Linked DNA regions of Sus scrofa. The protein of the gene in region 2 interacts with the protein of the main gene of each other region in a pairwise test. Links are inferred from orthologs where the notes say so. Each region holds a gene or a part of one and is shown on either strand. Other genes may lie near its edges.

Evidence for each region.
Region 1: the proteins of TECR (region 2) and HACD2 interact in binary tests that used the Homo sapiens proteins (3 or more experiments, as listed by UniProt). The link is inferred for Sus scrofa from reciprocal best matches to the Homo sapiens genes TECR and HACD2.
Region 3: the proteins of TECR (region 2) and CREB3 interact in a two-hybrid assay, tested with the Homo sapiens proteins (2 studies listed by BioGRID and IntAct). The two-hybrid records come from large-scale screens. The link is inferred for Sus scrofa from reciprocal best matches to the Homo sapiens genes TECR and CREB3.

The regions. Positions count from the first base shown.
Region 1 is NC_010455.5:136,832,679-136,837,024, reverse strand, and holds the start of HACD2 (very-long-chain (3R)-3-hydroxyacyl-CoA dehydratase 2), read right to left. Parts: upstream 2,923-4,346; 5' UTR 2,844-2,922; coding exon 2,689-2,843; intron 137-2,688; coding exon 19-136; intron 1-18. UniProt on the Homo sapiens protein: Catalyzes the third of the very long-chain fatty acids (VLCFA) elongation four-step cycle (condensation, reduction, dehydration, and reduction).
Region 2 is NC_010444.4:64,723,074-64,725,727, forward strand, and holds the end of TECR (very-long-chain enoyl-CoA reductase), read right to left. Parts: coding exon 2,581-2,654; intron 2,486-2,580; coding exon 2,382-2,485; intron 2,304-2,381; coding exon 2,188-2,303; intron 2,104-2,187; coding exon 1,998-2,103; intron 1,892-1,997; coding exon 1,819-1,891; intron 1,726-1,818; coding exon 1,682-1,725; intron 1,604-1,681; coding exon 1,546-1,603; intron 1,458-1,545; coding exon 1,369-1,457; intron 1,013-1,368; coding exon 967-1,012; intron 882-966; coding exon 754-881; 3' UTR 625-753; downstream 1-624. Other genes in the region: NDUFB7 (NADH dehydrogenase [ubiquinone] 1 beta subcomplex subunit 7), read left to right, coding at 1-41, 362-494. UniProt on the Homo sapiens protein: Involved in both the production of very long-chain fatty acids for sphingolipid synthesis and the degradation of the sphingosine moiety in sphingolipids through the sphingosine 1-phosphate metabolic pathway.
Region 3 is NC_010443.5:236,453,430-236,456,878, reverse strand, and holds the end of CREB3 (cyclic AMP-responsive element-binding protein 3), read right to left. Parts: intron 2,509-3,449; coding exon 2,402-2,508; intron 2,289-2,401; coding exon 2,220-2,288; intron 1,445-2,219; coding exon 1,360-1,444; intron 1,256-1,359; coding exon 1,171-1,255; intron 1,094-1,170; coding exon 777-1,093; 3' UTR 506-776; downstream 1-505. UniProt on the Homo sapiens protein: Endoplasmic reticulum (ER)-bound sequence-specific transcription factor that directly binds DNA and activates transcription. Plays a role in the unfolded protein response (UPR), promoting cell survival versus ER stress-induced apoptotic cell death.

The DNA.
Region 1 (4,346 bases), on a different chromosome or scaffold from region 2:
ACCAATGTCAGGACCCACCTCCAACAAGGCTCCAGTTTGGAAGAATTTCAAAGGCTTTTCAATGGAATAATAAAGGCTATGATAGCTACCCTTAGCCAGGTATGCTCTGACCAGGCCAACTGCTATAACGAGCCACCTAAGAAAAAGAGCAATCAGGAAAGAAAAAAAAAAAAAGTTAAGTAGGGTTATAACAGAAAGATTGGGCAACAAGAGATATTGCTAATGGTGCTAAAGGAGATATTGCTAGATTTATCAACCTTTACCGTCAAATGCCAAGCTGTACATAAGGCACTGAAACATTGCACCATCAAAGCACCCTACCCAGAGGAATTTTTGCAAAAGCACAGTGGCACCTCACCCATCTGGAGCTAGGCTTTTTGGCAACCTTGCCTGTTGAGAACAAGGCCAAAAAGAAGGGAATAAGCTAAACTGATCCTTGAGCAGTTAGGTGCCAGAAAGTCCAAGACAAGAAGGAAAAAAAAAAGAAAAGAAAAGAAAACTATTAAAGGAAAAGTTTAAATGCCTTGTGTGGTTAAAGGGTCTGTAATAATAACAAGGTGGCGAGAAGATTTTAAACGATATGAGTATCTCACTGGAACAGACTCATACTTTAAAAATCTATTCTTTTAAAAGACTGAAAATGACATATGAATAAACGGCTATTTTTTAAAAAAAGAACAAAAGGGTTTTTAGCTGAGTTTCCCAAAATCAATTCAGTAAAGAAAGCCAGACCAATACAAAACACAAAACAGGGAAGCATTTAGGCATGACTCTGAACATTACATTTCTGTTCTGTCTTCCAAAGTAAATGTCTCAGGCCTTGTAGTTTTTTATTTGTAAGTTCCATAATGAAATGAATGGACCTTTATTAATGTATGTCTCTATGAAGGCAGTAATAGATTTACTTATGTGTGTGTACTAGGCAATGGGGCATGCTGTGGTCTGCTATTTCTACAAACTGTCATACGAAGATATCAAACGAAAGTTTGCAAAGCAAGAGATGAATTTCTTCATGGTGTAACCGGTTCAGCACTAGCGCCAAGAAAAAAAGCTTACTTTACTCTCACAACCCCAACTTCTCTTCTTTGCCTGCACCCTATTCTCTATCTCCATGGCTCAGGAATAAGGACTTCTTTTCCTCTTTCCCAATGTACCTTAAAATTCTTCTCCCACACAGTGTTCTCATCAATGCCCTTGATAAATGACAAGAATTTTACATATAAATATAAATACACACACACTCTTGAATATTCTCTTAAACTCACTCTGTAACCATTTGTGTGATACAGAGAACTTGCATCTGTAATATTTCTTTATTGGCCTTTAAGAGAAATGTATTCTAGATCCACATCTCCTACTAACAAGTTCTGTGAGCTCAAACAAGTCAAGCAAGTCACAGTTTCTCTGAGCCTAGGTTGCAATACCGGCTATTTCTAATACTAGCAATAAAGCCTATGATCCTCTCAAGATGTTTTGTGTGTGTGTGAAAAGGTGGTGAAATGCTAAAACATGACATTAGCATTTGTTTTTTTTTTAAAGTGTGTGTGCAGGTAATGTATACAGATTTGCTTGGTACGAGTAAGAGATACAAAAAACGATCCGCCTTCTAGGGAGGTATTCTGGGTGGAAGGGAAGGTGAGAGGGAAGATTTTCACAGTATGCCCTTGCATATATTTTGAATTTTGCACTTGGCCAATATATTACCTAGTTTTAAAATAAAACTGGATGGTCATTATACAGTTCTTTCAATTTTGACATTTTTCATAATAAATGTTTAAAAATTTTTACAAATGAATACAATTTAAAAATACATAACAAACAGTCTGATTCTGTGAATCTCCTCACAGAAAATCATGGGATCAAAGAATTGGAGGAACCCTGGAGATCATTTAGCTCAAGTCTTTATACAGATGAAAAAACAGAGGCCAAGAGAAATAAAATTATTTATCCAAAGTCACACAGCTAGTTGGTGCCATAACTAGAACTAAAAACTCGCTGTGATAGGGGACGGACTTAAATGAGAAACAGTGAAAGGGGTAAAATCGGTTTCCAGGGTCTATTCCCCTCCTTCCCAGTACCACTGCCTTCCAGTGTCTTTCCTACCTCAGTCCATCCCAAAAAGTCTAAACTCCTCTAAAGCAGGTCTGCTCAAGTCACTGGGCAAAAACTTTGAACGCTTTTCCACCACCTTTCTTCCACATTAAAGCTCAGCCTGGATTTTGAAAACAGCCGCCTCAGTAAATGGTCACTCTGCAGCCAGAGCTCCCTCCACCCACTTTAGGGGGAACGCTAGACATTCGTGAGTTGCCGCCTGGGCTCTCCGCGCTACAGGATAGCTCGGCACACAGCCCCCCAAACCTTGCCGTGTGGCCAGCCCACCCGTCCTCCCAAGGCCCTACGGACCAGCGCCTGGGAAACCTCTCTATCCCCCAAGAAGCCCCGGAACTCCAGCTCAGGGCACGCCCGGTGGCTGGGAACTTGCTCGGCCCCTGGCCCAGGCAAGAGTCCGGGGCAGGCACTCGGGCGGGTTCAGCCTCGGCTGCCCTTAGCGCCCAGGTGTCTGTACTCGAACATCCGCTACCGGAGACACCCGGCGCGCTGCGGACCGAGCCGCGCCGCTCAGCCTGCCGGCCGCAGAGCCCCCTCCCCAGCCAGGCTCTCTCCCGCCTTCCTGAGCCCCAGCCTCACCCCGCGGTCATCACCACATTGTAGATGACCAGATACGCCGTGGCCAGAGGCCCCGGGCCCTTCTTCTTCCGTGAGCCGCTGGCTTCGCCGGCCCCGGCCCGGCCCCCGCCGGCCCCATTCCCTTTCGTCGCTGCAGTCACCGCCGCTGCCGCCATGTCAAGTGCCGAGAGCCGACTCTCCTCGCGCGAGCACCACCTCCAGGAGTGGGCACTGCGAGTGGGTGGAGGGAGGGGTGAAGGAAAGGCGGGGCCGTGGCCGCGGGGCGGGGCCAGGGACAGCGCCCACGACGACCGCCATCTTGGAGGAGGGCAAAGATGCTCCTGGCGTTCCCCGCCCCGCAGCTCGCTTCAGCCACCCCCGCCATCTTGGATCAGGGTAATCGCCCGCTCTTTTGCACTCCCGGTAATAACCTCAGGGGCCATCTTGGGTTAGGTCAGTGCAGCCTTTGGCCTCCCTTGCGCACTCTGGAATTTACTGCCTTTTAGCTGCTTGGTGGTCCAGGGTTATTGTCTCCCGTAATTTCCCACCTTAAGTTAGATTAAGAAAATGATGTTTTCATTCCCCTTTCTTGCCTCTTGGCGATAGCCGTATGTTCACCCCTCTGCTTGCGGTTTGAGTAACCTGCCATTATGGGTCAGGGCTATTGAGGCTGATTTGACTTCCCATCATTCCCAGAAGCTGGCGAGGGGACCGATCCTTCTTCACCTTGTGGCCAGGTTGAAGATAGAGGCTCCGCAGGTTTATTCCCTGGCTTTTTAAAGCTACTTGTGCGGTGCGTAAGGTCAATGAGAAGTATGGTCTCTTTCCCATCCAATTAAAGTCGCCCGTGTGGCCTAGGATCCAGTATCATCCATGAAGGCCTCGAGGGTCCCCCAGTGCGCCTTCCAACCTGAAGCTGCGTGGGCTCGCCCGTAGCCAGGTAGGACAAGGGTGAGGTTGGCTAAGGGTGAGGTGCAGAGTGAAGAGAGAGGCTTTCCACACACAGTGACCCAAAATAGTGGGATGTTGGCTTATACGGAAAACCTGTCTGCATACGGAAATTGGGACAACTTATGGAAACTGCTTCAAGCAGCTGACCCTACTTTCCTGGATCACTGCTTTGTTCTGGGGGCCTTGGGGTTGTAAAAGTCTCCTAATCACCGATTTTCACATAGTCAAACAACTCTTTAAATTACTTATTGAGCATATAGTGGTATAAAACACATGTCTGTGCTTTCCAGCAAGTATTTATGGAGCATATACAAGGTTGCACCTGGGGTTCATGGCACTAAAAGACTTCAAAAATCCTGGATCTCTCAGAGGTTATCTAGAGAGAGCCAGATGAAAATAATTATGTATTGGTGAAGAGTGTTAGCAGTTAGGAGGTTGTTGCGGTAATCCAGGCCCTAGTCATAGTGGTTTGGACCAGAGTGGTCGCAATTGAGGTAATGAAAAAGGAAATGAATTCTGGACCTATTTTAGAAGTTGAGCTGACAAGATTTGTTGATATATTGTGGAGTATGACGTAAAAGACATTATCAGTAAGTTGGAATAATTGAGTTGTAGAAGAATCTATTTTAAAGGTAGAAATCAGGAATTTTGTTTTTATTTGTTGAGTTTGAAATCTATTAGACGTCCAAATGGAAAGGTTGAGTAGACAATTAGATTTAGAGACTGAG
Region 2 (2,654 bases):
AAGCATGAGCAGCATGACTGGGACTACTGCGAGCACCTAGAGTGAGCCCCACACCCCATCCCTCCAAATTTCCACCTCAATAGAAAGAGGACCCCAAAGGGGCTGTTGGGTGGGATAGTGGCTTTGAGGCTGCCTTGGACCTTTGAGGTGGGAGGCCCAGCCCCTGCTCTGGGTTCACTGGTGTCCACCTGAGGGGGTGGGGGTGGTCCCCAGACAATCCACAGACACAGGTCTTTCCTATTCAGGCCCCCCAAGTGCCACAGGCCACGTGCTCCTGTCCCATCAGTTTCTCAGACTATGGGACGGCTGTGTCCTGGCTGGGGGAGGGGGACCTGACACCACTTCTCTGCTCTGCCCACAGCTACGTGAAGCGCATGAAGGAGTTTGAGCGGGAGCGGCGGCTGCTCCAGCGGAAGAAGCGGCGGGAGCAGAGGGAAGCAGAAATGGCCAGAGGCCAGGGGCCCGGTGAGGTGGCTCCCGAAATGGCCCTGTAGTGGGCCCACCTACCACCCTGTGGACCAGTCAAGAAATAAAAGCCTCCAGGCCCCTTGGCCCAAACTCTGCCTCTTTCTGTCGTGTGCTGGTCCCTAAACCAACCCCCAAAAGAAACACCCTGAGTCTGAGTCCAGCTGGGCAGGCAGGTTTTATTCCAGGCACTAGAGAGCAACAGTTCCCACCCCTCCCCCAGGATGACACTGGGGCGGGGCAGGGGGACAGAGCCCAGCTTGCCTGAGCCTGAGTGGGGGGAGCCGCTCAGAGCAGGAAGGGGATGATGGGCATGCGTAGGGGCGGGTAGTCTCGGAACTCCTTCAGGTAGCTGCGGTGCTTGCCCTTGGCCCAGATGGTCATCTGGGTGAAGCCCACCAGGGAGAAGAGGGCCACTGTAGGGCAGAGCAGTGGAGTCAGGGAGGGCTGCACACAACCAGGGCAGACAGGCCCCACCTGGGGAAGGGGCAGCAGGCTCACCTGGGAGACACTGTGTCATGATGGCAAAGCCAATCCAGGACCCCACCTGTGGACGGGGCAGGCAGGGCGAGGGTGGGCAGGGCTGCACAGCCCCAGCTGTTCTGTCAAGACCCCGCCCACCCTCCCAGCCACCTCCCCACCAACCCTTACTTTCTATTCTAGTAAGGGGGTGGGAACCAAACTCCAGGGCTCGAAGGGCCTGGAGTAAAGGAGGTGAAGGGGGGACTACATGGTGAAGCTGCCCCCCCGGCCCCCAAGAGGCCATCTCCTTCTCCAGGTACTTTAAGTTCAAACTATGAAAGCAGCTACGAAGCTAGGCAACCCCCCTCCTAAAGACTAGCCCTCCACACAGGATCCCGAACCCCAGGAGGGACAGGGGAGGGGAGCCAGGCAGACCCTCACCTCGTATGTGTAGTTGGGGCAGGACACCAGCAGGAAAAGCCATGTGAAGGGGTTCTTGGTGGGGTATGGGATCTTCCTGGTCTTGGACCCTGGAAGGACAGGACAGAAGTGAGAACACCCTAGTCCAGCCCAGCCTGCCCAGGAAGCCAGCCCCCCTGCCTGGAGGAGGCCACTCACCTGCTGGCCGCAGGTCCCGCAGGGCCATGTGGATGGAGAAGTTGCCAAGCTGGCAGATCTGTCAAAGAAGCAGGGTCAGCTCGGAGGGCACCCCCACAGACTCCCCCAACCCCATCATCCACCCCAGACTGCTTACCACAAAGATGGCGAGTGCCAATTTAACCTGCTGAGCTCCATAGGCTGAAGAGGAAGCAGAAAGGAAGGCCTGTCAGGGGAGAGCCTGGGTCAGGGAGGGGGCTGTTCACAGGGGGAACAGGGTCCAAGGCCACTTACTTGGGGGTGTGTAGAGAGGGTGGTTGATGTAATAGGCCATCCATGCAGCAAAGCCCCAGTAGTAGGTGCAGTTCTGAAAGGGAGCGGGGCCGGGATGGAGCCTGCCCCAGTGGAGGTGAGGAAGACCAGGGAGGGCGGGCCAAGGGTGAGGGGCCTGGGATGGGCAGCTGGGGGCTGACCTTGAAGATGTTGCGCAAGGGCATAGTGCCATGGGAGAAGCGATGCACGAAGAGCGTCTCCAACAGGCGCTTGATGTAGTGGAATGAGTGGCAGATGCAGGCGAGGCTGTCGGGGAAGTCAGTTTAGCAGGGGCAGGTCCGGCAGGCCTTCCCCTCCCTCTGCCACCAGCTCCCACCTGGCCCTACTCACTGCACCACCGTATGCCGACTGGACGTGAAGTCATATTTGTGGCCATAAATGAAGGGCACCCGGAAGTAGAAGAGCAAATAGATGAAAAGGGGACCCGCGTACTCTGTCAGGAAGACCTGGGGAGGGGCAAAGTGAGTCACCACAATGTGGCAGATGAGAGTCAAGGCTACTGGGAGAGGGGCATCTGCACTCACCGTTACCCAGCTGATCTGGGCCCCCAGGTCCCGGAAGTAGAGTGTGGCCGTGGTGCCCACAGGCAGCTTCTGCAGAACGTCCTCATCCTTCAGGGACTTGCCCTCTGTCAAGAGGTGGGCCAGGGCTCAGGGGCTGCCTGGGCCTCCACCCACTGCCACCCAAAAGCCCAGGGGGAGCCAGGCAGACAGCTGTACTCACTGGGGTCCAGGCGGAGGGACTGGCGGGCAGGGTACCACTGCGGATCTGTGGGGAATGAGATGTCACAGTGCACA
Region 3 (3,449 bases), on a different chromosome or scaffold from region 2:
CTCCATCTGTCCAGCTGAAGTGGCTCTTCAGGGGTTGCCGAGGAATATGATGGCCATTTCTCTCTACAGGGCCTGACCTGGGAGGGCTTCCGTACAGCAGAAGGCTGCTACCGTACTGTGTGGGAGCGCCTGGGCCTGGCCTTCCAGACCCCTGAGGCATACTGCCAGCAGCGGGTGTTCCGCTCACTCGCCTACATGCGACCACTGAGCATCTGGGCCATGCAGCTAGCCCTGCAGCAGCAGCAGCATAAAAAGGCCTCTGGGCCAACAGCCAAACAGGACACAGGACAAAGCTCCGGCCTAAAACCTGGACCAAAGGAAGCCATGCAAACCTGAGCCCAGAGGGGGAAGGAGGCACTAACAGCCCAGCCTCCAGCCAGGCCTTTCCTCCTCCACCACCCCGACCCCATCCAGACTCCTGCAACCCTGAGCCACCAGGACAATCATGCGCTCCCTTCTCCCCACCAACCACGCCAGTAAAGAGGGGTTGAGGGTGACCCAAGCATCAGAATCACTTATTTATTTCTTTCTTCACCCCATCCCCTCATTGCATGAAATGTTCAAGGAAGTCAGTGGACTCTCCCAGGCCCCTTAATGGAACAACAGACATACATGGGTGCAAATAAAACCCCAGAAAGCCAGTAAGTGTGGTGTGTTTGTGCCCTCAGGCTTCCTGACAGGGGACAGGACCTGAGGCTCACCCTCTCCCATTCCTTTTCCTTTGAACACAGACTGGGGGCACCAGGCTCTGGCTGAGGCCCCCTGCATTCTCACATCTAGCCTGAGTACCTGCCCTGCAAGGTAACAGATATGGGGCTGTGGGTAGGGAGCCATCCTCCCTCTCTTGTGAGATTTGCATGCAGGGGGAAGATGGGACCTGGGCTAGAAGACCTTGAGAAGCGGTCGGGCAGTGGCAGCTTCATGGGCGATTCTGCCCCAGGAGCCCAAGCCATGTGGTGGAACAGGCAGCAAGAGTTGCCAGGAGCCTGGAGCTCGTGGGTTGAGCTGTCCTGTGGTACCTCTGACTGCAGTGCAGGCAGGTCCCGCTGGGGAACGTCCTCGCTGGGGAGGGCACGAAGCTGGCGGGACAACACTGAGGAGACACAGACTGTTCAGGGGCCACCCTGGCTTCCCCCCCTGGCCCTTCCTGAGTGGTCTCAAGCCTCTCACCTCCATGCTCGGCTGGCGGGCTCCCCCTTGTGTCCGAGGAGTACATGGCAGGTACGAAGAGGAGACAGAAGGAGAAGAGCAGGACCTGGAGCACAAACAGGAAAAAAAAAGAGATGAGGACGAGCTCTGGATTGCACCCCTGTCCCTGCCACCTGAGAAAAGAATCTCTCCTTCCATCGCCATCCTCACCAAGATGCAGGTGCTGCTGCTGCTGGCTTTGTTTGCCGTCTGAATCACCATGGACTGCAGCCTCCTCAACTGATCCAAAAGGGACCTAGCAGAAGAACGGGGGACAGTGAGCAGCCCCCGGCCTGGCACCCTGACATGTAACAAAATCCTCCTGTTAAGGCCACCCCTCCCTCTGTGCACTGGATCCTCTCTCTTACTTTCTGACCTATTTTTGCAAGTGATCACCTCCTCTCTAGACAAAAATGCCTGAAGTTCCTCATTAAAACAAACACACAGGACTCTGCCCTGCCCCTGACTTAAACTCCTTCTGCAAACACCTTTAGTGCTTGTACAACTGCCTGATCAGCTCCACACTCAATCCTCTTCAGGGATTCTATGTTCTTTTTTTATATTTATTTTGCCACACCCACATGCTGCGGGAGTTCCCAGGCCAGGGATCAAACCAGAGCCACAGCAGTGAGAAGGCCTTACCCCAGGAGGCCACCAGGGAACTCCCTCTATGTTCTCTACCTTATGGCCCAACTCACCTGGGTTAGGGTTCCAGCCACACTAGACTATGTGGTGTTCTCTTTGCCTAAAATGCTCCCTGCCGCCACTCCAGAATCCCCATCTACTGTCAAATGCCTTCTGCCACGTGAGGTCTTTTTTGCTCCCTCTTTCTTTCTTGATACTTATCTGTAGTTAACTTGGGAATTTATTCCCCATTGCTGTGAACTTCTTGGAATCAGATACCCATGAAAGGCCAACACCAGGCCTTGCATGTAGGAGCTGCCCAGTTAGAAATCAAGTGTGGAGCAGGGGAAATAAGAAAGTATTAAACGGGAAGAATGAGAAAGCACTGAGGTCGAAGAGCTGCTTACAGATTCTGCTCCTCCAGGAGCTGTACTTTGTTCTGTAGCTCCAGATTCTGGGCCGAGTATTTCAGGACCCTGGAGAAATAACAGGGCTGTGGGGATATGGCCTGTACCCATCCTTCAGAAACCTGACGCTCCCAATTACTTCTGTTCTCCCTGTCCCCCCGAAGTCCCTCTCCCTTTTATACCTGCTCTCTAAACTCCCCACATACACCTTCTTCTTCCTGCGGCTCTCTTGAGCAGACTTTTTGTTTCGAATCTTCCTTCGCACTCGTCTCAGAACTTGTTCCTCCATCTGAGGGACATTGGGGAAAAGGGTAACATCAGAAGAAGGTGCGACCAAAGAGCCTGAAGGCAACGGAGTTCAAGCTTCCCAATGGGCGAATTCCTTCTACAGCCTTCCTGAGCACTCTGCTTCTGTATGAATGCCCCCGAGAACAGGTGTTAACGCCCTCACAAGCCAGAACCATTTTAATTATTAACTAAAAAACACAAAACAAAAAACACTTCCTTGTCATGAGCCAACATCTGCCCCTGTTCTTTCTACCTATCGGATTTACCTAGCACCCAATCTCTGGGTGCTATTTTACTTTATTTATGTATTTACTGCTTTTTAGGGCTGTATCCTCAGCATATGGAGACTCCCAGGCTAGGGATCGAATCAGAGCTACAGCTGCCGGCCTATGCCACAGCCACAGCGACACCAGATCTGAGCCGCATCTGCGAACTAGACCACAGTTCACGGCAACACCAGATCCTTACTTAACCCACTGAGCGAGGGCAGGGATTGAACCCGCAACCTCATGGTTCCTAGTCGGATTCCTTTCCACTGTGCTGTGATGTGAACTCCTCTTTAGCTATTTTAAAACACTTGACATTTCTTCCAAGTGAAAAAAAAATCTGGGCAAAAGTTTTAACTCATCATCTGCTCTCTTCTCAGGATGGAATGTATACTCGTAATATCTGTCAAAAGATCTGGGCTCAAGCCTGGACACTGAGATGTGACGTTCTGGCTGATATAAAGGAGAGCAAGTGGTTACTGCTCTTCTAGAGGCAACACAACTAGATAATGAGTATCTGCTGATATAGCTTGCAAGCCTATTCACTCTTTTTTTTTTTTTTTTTTTTGGGGTCTTTTTGCCTTTTCTAGGGCTGATTCCCATGGCATATGGACATTCCCAGGCTAGGGGTCGAATCGGAGCTGTAGCCACCGGCCCACACCAGAGCCACAGCAAC